Linked DNA regions of Cricetulus griseus. The protein of the gene in region 2 interacts with the protein of the main gene of each other region in a biochemical or structural test. Links are inferred from orthologs where the notes say so. Each region holds a gene or a part of one and is shown on either strand. Other genes may lie near its edges.

Region 1 (4,234 bases), about 120 Mb from region 2:
GTACCAGCCCAAAAGAGAATACAGGCAGACAAGGCCACTACCACAGTCAGACCACCAACAGGGGGTCACTTTTTCTCACCCTAACACTTCCTCAGTCAACAACAGAGTCCCCTCCAGAGTTTCCCAAAACAAATGCCCAAATCAGTAGGCAGCTGGGGGCCTAACCGTGAACTGCCTCGTCAGGCCCAAGCTGGACTCCAAGCCCAGCCTCCTGAGAGTCATGTGACCCTGTTATTTCGGGACGACCGGAATGTGCTCTATTTTGGGTCACAAGGGCTCCAATGTTACTAAAAGCCCCCTCACACAGGCCCCAAGTTCACTAGATCCCCAAGAACCACACAAGAGGGTGGTTGGAGGCCTAGAGCCCCACTTCTGGAAACCTGTTACCCTCACATACAAATGAGCCACACAGCTGAGAGGGTCAGTGCAGGCTTGGGACCTTTGGACTCTGCAGGCTCAGCCTTACAGTCCCACCATCCAAGCTGAGGCCAGGCTGAGCCCTTACCCCACTCCCCAACTCCAGCCCTGGGCAGCAAAGCCAGGAAACAGGGACTGCCTGGGGCAAATTCCCCATCCTCCCTTTCTTCTCAGATCTGTCCCATACAGATCAACTCAGTGGAGAGAGGCTCAGAGGCTATCTGAACCACCAAACCCCACACAGTGCACACTGGGAAGAGCCCTCAGTCTCAGACCCCAAAAGTGGCAGGGTAGTGAAAAAAGGACGGCCAAATCTTCCCAGCCACTTCAAGTCAAACCTAAGTTGTCAGTGGGGACCCTGGATGAGCCAGATCCTCTGACACTCAGCCCCCAGGAGGGATTAGGCTGTGTTGACAAAAGGGCTTAGGCAAGTAGCTGCTTAAATGGACCTTCAACTGCACTGGACTTCAGAGCTGGTCACAAGCTTAGTAAAAAATAAAATGTATTCAGAGCCCAGGACTCACCACTCAGCCCTGGGGCACAAGCTGCCTGGGAGGCCACAAGCTGGTCCTGAGAGCCACCACTCTGTGAACCCAAGACTCTGGGTCTCCTTGTGGGGGGACAACAGCTCCAAGACACAACTCCTCTTGTTGAAGACTCTAGCCCAGTCACCCTGCAACTGTATGTGTCAACTTCTAGAATGGGCTCTGTCCCTCCTGGCATGTTGTTTCCCATCCCTGGATCTAGGCAAAGTATTGCCAGGCCCTAGCCATGATCCAGGCCAGAGACTAAGCAAAGCATTCCTGTCCTAAGGACCCAGCTCTGAACACATAAAGGCTTGGGTGGAGGAGAAAGAGGTGTCTCAGGGGTCCCACCAACCCCACATCAGGCCCCACAGCAACATGCCACAGTAATACAGCTTTCTTGTCAGTGGACTTTGGCAGGGGGCTCCAACGCCAAATCCACCATTTACAGTCTCTAAGTGCGGCCTCTCCAAGCCAGTTTCTCAACTACAACATGGACAGAGTTTACACCCTGGGAGCCAGACCCTCAAGCTCAGCTGAGCCCCCATGGTCTTCAGCACCGCTCATAAGGACGAAGTGTCTGAAGCTTTGACAAACTTGGAACACTCTATCAAAGTCACTCTGCAGCAGACCTGTCTGGGAGCTGTAAGAAGGCTGGGGCCAAGGGGGTGCCACCTCCCCAAATCACCAAAAATCCTGGAAGCCATGCTGGGTTCTGATCACCCCTAGGGGTAGCAAAACTGCACCCCAAGCTTCATAGGGGATGGCCAAGCAAAGAGGCACTGATCATCATGGAGCTTCGTCCATAATCAGCTGTCCTGATTTCCATTCAGCACAAATTCTTCATCAGCCTGACAGCCTGGCTGCTGTCCTCACCACCAAATTAATATCCTTCCCAGAGCTCATTTATAAAGTCTCTCTACACTGTTTCCCTCTGGCTCCCAAAATCCCTGCGAGAGCAATGGATTGGGGGGCTCCGACCCTGCTGGGTTCCACTCCCGGAGTTGGCAGGCTGACGGTCACTGAGAGCTGCTGGCGGGAGGGCAGCAAGACAAGAAAACGGACTCTTCTGCCTATGGGCTGTTCTCCCCCCCTAAATACCAGGGAGAACAACTAGGGGTGCCAGAGCGTGGGGCCCCAGTTCTGGGTTTGATGCTCCTCATCAGAGGCCCCTGGGTGACCATGCCCACCTAGGTTTGGGCTGCTGTCGGGGAACGGCAAGATCGCAGACTCCGTCTGGGCCAACAGACACCCAGGGGCCAGCGGCCTGCTCCAAACAGCAGCCCGACGAGCCCGGAGGAGCAGTGGCCTCCCGGAGCCCAGCGCGTCGCCCCCATCCCAGTGCCAAGGAGGCCCGGAGCCCTCCAGCAAGCGCAGAAGTTGCTCCTCCGGCGTGGCCGGATTCTGGGCGGCTGAGGCTGGGCGCCCCGGGGTTCTGCGGACGCGCTACGCGCACCGTGAGGGACCCCTCTCCACGTCTTGAGCGAACCTGCCGCTCGCCCCAGCCCCGCCGCCCACTCCCGCTCCCCGACAAGTCAGAGGCCCGGTGCCCTCGCCCTCTCCCGCCGCGAGCCCGGGCCCGGGAAAAGTTGCCCTGTGCCCACTCGCCTCCCCGGGCCCGGCGCGCCAACTCTCGGTACCGCCACAGCGCGGGGCCCAGCGGGCCTGGCCGGACCCCCCACGCGCGCTGCGCACGCGCCCCCGCCCCGCCAGCCCCGGCCCCCTCCCTCGCCCGCGCCGCCGCGGCCGGCACTCACCGAGCGGCAGGAAATGTTTGGTGTCCATGTCTGCGACTAACTTCCCGGCTGGCGGCGGAGCAGCAGGGCGACAGCGCAGCGGCCCCCGGCCGGCCGGCCCGGCCCGGCGGCGGGGCGGCGGGCAGCGGCGGCGGCGGCGGCGCGCGGAGGCCGCGGCGCGGCGAGTTGTTGCAAAAGTCGCCCAACAATGTAAACTACTTGTGCCTGCGCGCGCCCGGCGCGCGTGTCCGCCGCCCGCGCCTCCGCCGCGCGCCGCGACCCGCTCCGGCCCGGCCTGCAGCGGGGGGGAGCGGCGGGGGGCCCGCGACGGGCGCGGACTCGGCGCAGCGCCGCCGCCGCCACTCGCCCCGCCCGCAGCCGGTGCGCGCCCCGCCCGCCGCTGTCGCCGCCGCCCCGCGCTCGCCGCCCGGCCCCGAGTTGTGAGCGTCCTGCAAACTTGCAAGTTTGCGTCTGCCAGGGGTTCCCGGGAGCCGTGGGGCGGCGGCGTGGGAGGAGGGCGGGGCGGCCGGCTGAAGCAGCCTTCCCTCCCCGGCTGCCCAAAATCCCCGCGGCCCGTGGTGGAGGAGGAGGAGAGCGGGGCCAAGAGGAGAGCTCAGCGGCCGGGCCATTGTCTGCGCGGACACACAAAGAGGCCAGCCGTGGTCGCTCGGGGACCATGGTCTGGCAGGGCTCCCTAAAGGAGAGCTGAGGCCCCGTGCACCCCAAGGGACACATGGGGAAACTGAGGCCGGGGAGGGGTGATGAGCCAGAGGCAAGCAGCTGGGCAGGGGGATGCCCCAGTGCCCTCCCACTTACACGCGGGAGGCCCAGAGAGAACCATGGTATCTGACCGACCGAAGGCCAGACCCGGGGCGGGGGGGGGGGGCGTCCGCGTACCGGTGTTACCCCGACGGCCCCAGCCCTCTTCTGAGGTGCGGGGTTCGAGAGGCGCTGCGGCCCGCTTCGGACATCGCCCAGTGGCCCCAGGCTATTTATATACCTTGGGCAGCTCTCTGCCCTGACTTTTAAATTCATGATTTGTTTGTTTTAAAACGAAAGGAAGCACTCCTACCCAGAGAGAGCCTGGGCCTCCTCCGCAACCCGCCCGCCGTCTTGGGCGGCTGGAATTCGGATTTGGGTGTGAGCTACCTGAGCAGAGCCAAGCCAGCCTCCCTAAGCGCACTGTGTCCCTGAGCCAAGCCAGGCAACCGGCAGTCCCGCCTCCCTCCACTCCCAGCTGGTGCCTGCCAGACCAACATCCAGCGTGGAGGCCCTGGCAGAGGGGCTTACCAAAGTCCACAGGCACATCGTGGGTGCTGCCCAAAGAAAGCACCTCCTCTCCAGACAAAAAAGGAAAGCCCTGCCTGGGTGCGCTACTGCCGCCCTCCAGAACTGCACTTTTTCTTCGAAGCATCCCAGAAGGTCTATAGAACTGTCCCAGAGGAAGGCCAGCCCTGTGGGGTCTGGGGAACCTGTCCTTCCAGGGCAAGAGAGAAGAAAAAGCAAAATAGGGGCACTAAATGTCCTGGGCTGTCTACAAACCAACTCCTCTTCCCA
Region 2 (3,549 bases):
GAATTACTGATTATTTCTACCTGAGACCTAAATACTGGGCAACCAGCCCTTTGCTGTTGATAGGGTTTTTCTCATTTATAGTGCATAATACAGTCTTAATGCAGTAATGCTTCATTCACAACGTAAACACCAAGGGGCTTCGTGTTCTTAATGCTTTGCTTTTTGCCTCCTTAAGCAGTGTGAACCCTTGCTTGTGTCAGACAATGGGAACAGCATGCCTGAGCTGTTTGTGCGCAGTCTGCTACCTATGAGTACTGCTTAGCTACACTCTAAAGGTAGCAAAGTTTTCTTGCTGAAAAATCTAACTTCCCTGATTTTGGGGGGCTTGTTTTAGGTTATCCTACTCAACCAGTTGAACAGAGGCCACTGCAACAGATGCCTCCTCAACTCATGCAGCATGTGGCACCCCCACCACAGCCACCACAGCAGCAGCCACAACCACAACTGCCTCAGCAGCAGCAGCAACAGCCACCACCACCACCTAGTCAGCCACAGTCTCAGCAACATCAGCAGCAGCAGCAACAAATGATGATGATGCTCATGATGCAGCAAGACCCTAAATCCATTAGGCTTCCAGTCTCCCAAAATGTCCACCCTCCACGGGGTCCTCTGAACCCAGACTCCCAGAGAATGCCCGTGCAGCAGAGTGGCAATGTACCTGTTATGGTTAGCTTGCAAGGACCTGCCTCTGTGCCACCATCACCTGATAAACAAAGAATCCCAATGTCTGTGAATACTCCATTGGGAAGTAATTCGAGGAAAATGGTATACCAGGAGAACCCACAGAATTCTTCTAGCTCTCCACTAGCAGAGTTGTCCTCACTTCCTGAAGCTAGTGGCAATGAAGTACCATCTGTTTCAGGAGGCCCAAATAACATGCCGTCACATTTAGTAGTTTCTCAGAATCAGTTAATGATGACAGGGCCCAAACCTGGACCATCTCCCCTTTCAGCAACTCAAGGTGCAACTCCCCAGCAACCTCCTGTAAATTCTTTGCCTAGCTCCCATGGCCACCACTTTCCAAATGTTGCTGCACCAACCCAGACATCTAGGCCTAAAACTCCAAACAGAGCCAGCCCCAGACCCTATTATCCTCAGACACCCAACAACCGCCCTCCCAGTACAGAACCTTCAGAAATAAGTCTGTCACCAGAAAGACTCAATGCCTCCATAGCAGGACTCTTCCCTCCACAGATTAATATTCCTTTACCTCCCAGGCCAAATTTAAATAGGGGCTTTGATCAACAGGGTTTAAATCCAACAACTCTGAAAGCCATCGGGCAAGCACCTTCAAATCTTACCATAAATAATCCTCCTAACTTTGCTGCCCCACAAGCTCATAAATTAGATTCTGTGGTGGTGAATTCTGGAAAACAGTCTAATCCTGGAACAACAAAACGGGCAAGTCCAAGTAACAGTCGCAGGTCTAGTCCAGGGTCCAGTAGGAAAACTACCCCAAGTCCTGGAAGGCAAAATTCAAAAGCCCCAAAACTTACTCTGGCTTCTCAACCAAGCACAACCCTGTTGCAGAACATGGAACTGCCTAGAAATGTATTGGTCTCCCCCACTCCAATTGCTAATCCCACTTTATCTGGAAGCTTTCCTAACAATAGTGGGCTTAATCCTCAGAATCCCAGCGTGCCTGTGCCTGTGCCTGCAGTGGGGGCTGTTCTTGAGGATAACAAAGAGAGTTTGAACGTTCCTCAGGACAATGATTGCCAGAATTCCCAGGGTAGGAAGGAGCAGGTAAATGTTGAGCTGAAAGTAGTCCCTATCCAAGAAGCTAAAATGGTTGTCCCTGAAGATCAGTCCAAAAAAGATGGGCAACCTTTGGATGCTAACAAACTCCCCAGTGTTGAAGAGAACAAAAATTTGATGTCTCCTGCCATGAGAGAAGCACCAACATCATTAAGCCAACTTCTTGACAACTCTGGAGCTCCTAATGTGACCATTAAACCCCCTGGGCTTACAGATCTGGAAGTAGCACCTCCAGTAGTTTCAGGGGAAGACCTCAAAAAAGCATCTGTCATTCCCACACTGCAGGATCCGCCTTCTAAAGAGCCCTCTAATTCCTTAAACTTACCTCACAGTAATGAGCCGTGTTCAACCCTTGCGCATCCAGAATTGAGTGAGGTCAGCTCTAATGTTGCACCAAGCATCCCTCCAGTAATGTCAAGGCCTGTCAGCTCTTCCTCCATTTCTACTCCTTTGCCCCCAAACCAAATAACTGTATTTGTTACTTCCAATCCCATAACCACTTCATCTAACACATCAGCAGCCCTGCCAACAAACTTGCATTCTGCCTTGATGTCAACAGTTGTCACAATGCCCAACGTGGGTAACAAAGTTATGGTTTCTGAGGGACAGTCCGCTGCTCAATCTAATGCCCGGCCTCAGTTCATTACACCTGTCTTTATCAATTCATCTTCAATTATTCAGGTTATGAAAGGATCACAGCCAAGCACAATTCCTGCAACCCCATTGACAACCAACAGTGGCCTGATGCCTCCCTCCGTCGCAGTTGTTGGACCTTTACACATACCTCAAAACATAAAATTTTCTTCAGCTCCTGTAGCACCTAATGTTCCCTCCAGCAGTCCTGCTCCAAACATACAGACAGGCCGGCCGTTGGTCCTTAGCTCACGTGCCACTCCTGTTCAGCTGCCTTCCCCTCCTTGTACATCCTCTCCAGTCGTCGCTCCTAATTCTTCTATCCAGCAAGTAAAAGAATTAAATCCAGATGAGGCTAGTCCTCAGATGAACACCTCAGCAGATCAGAGCACTCTGCTCTCTTCACAGTCCACCACAGTAGTTTCTCCCCTTTTGACCAATAGTCCAGGCTCCTCTGCCAATCGGCGAAGCCCGGTCTCATCCACTAAGGGCAAAGGAAAAGTGGACAAAATTGGCCAGATTTTGCTGACCAAGGCTTGTAAGAAAGTTACAGGCTCTCTGGAAAAAGGGGAAGAACAGTATGGTGCAGATGGAGAGACTGAAGGCCCAGGGCTAGAGACCACAACTCCTGGGCTAATGGGAACAGAGCAGTGCTCCACAGAGCTGGACAGTAAAACCCCAACACCCTCAGCACCCACGCTACTAAAAATGACCTCTAGCCCCATGGGCCCAAGCTCCACCTCAACAGGACCCATCTTACCTGGCGGTGCTCTCCCAACCAGTGTACGCTCAATAGTAACCACACTGGTACCCTCTGAGCTCATCTCCACAGCGCCAACCACAAAAGGCAATCATGGTGGCGTAGCATCTGAGCCACTTGCAGGTGGCCTAGTGGAAGAGAAGGTGGGACCTCATCCAGAGCTTCTACCCAGCATAGGTATGTACTTGAGCTTGGCATCAGCTCCTCAGGTCAGGGTTTTGTTGACCTGTCCCACAAAAGAGAAAGCATGAGCCCTTTTCTGCTTAGAGGAAGAAAAATGGCCATAGTTGTAGATTTACTTACTGAAAGTACATTGAAAAATATGCTTTTAAATCCCATATTCAGTTTATATTCATTAACATGGTTCCTTCCTAGCTTCTGAACTGATGACGTGTTTC

What was found.
Region 1: the proteins of Ncoa6 (region 2) and Rxra form a complex in vitro, tested with the Homo sapiens proteins (5 studies listed by BioGRID). The link is inferred for Cricetulus griseus from reciprocal best matches to the Homo sapiens genes NCOA6 and RXRA.

What each region holds. Positions count from the first base shown.
Region 1 is NC_048599.1:139,356,305-139,360,538, reverse strand, and holds the start of Rxra (retinoic acid receptor RXR-alpha), read right to left. Parts: upstream 2,808-4,234; 5' UTR 2,727-2,807; coding exon 2,699-2,726; intron 1-2,698. UniProt on the Homo sapiens protein: Receptor for retinoic acid that acts as a transcription factor.
Region 2 is NC_048599.1:24,227,973-24,231,521, forward strand, and holds part of Ncoa6 (nuclear receptor coactivator 6), read left to right. Parts: intron 1-334; coding exon 335-3,328; intron 3,329-3,549. UniProt on the Homo sapiens protein: Nuclear receptor coactivator that directly binds nuclear receptors and stimulates the transcriptional activities in a hormone-dependent fashion. Coactivates expression in an agonist- and AF2-dependent manner.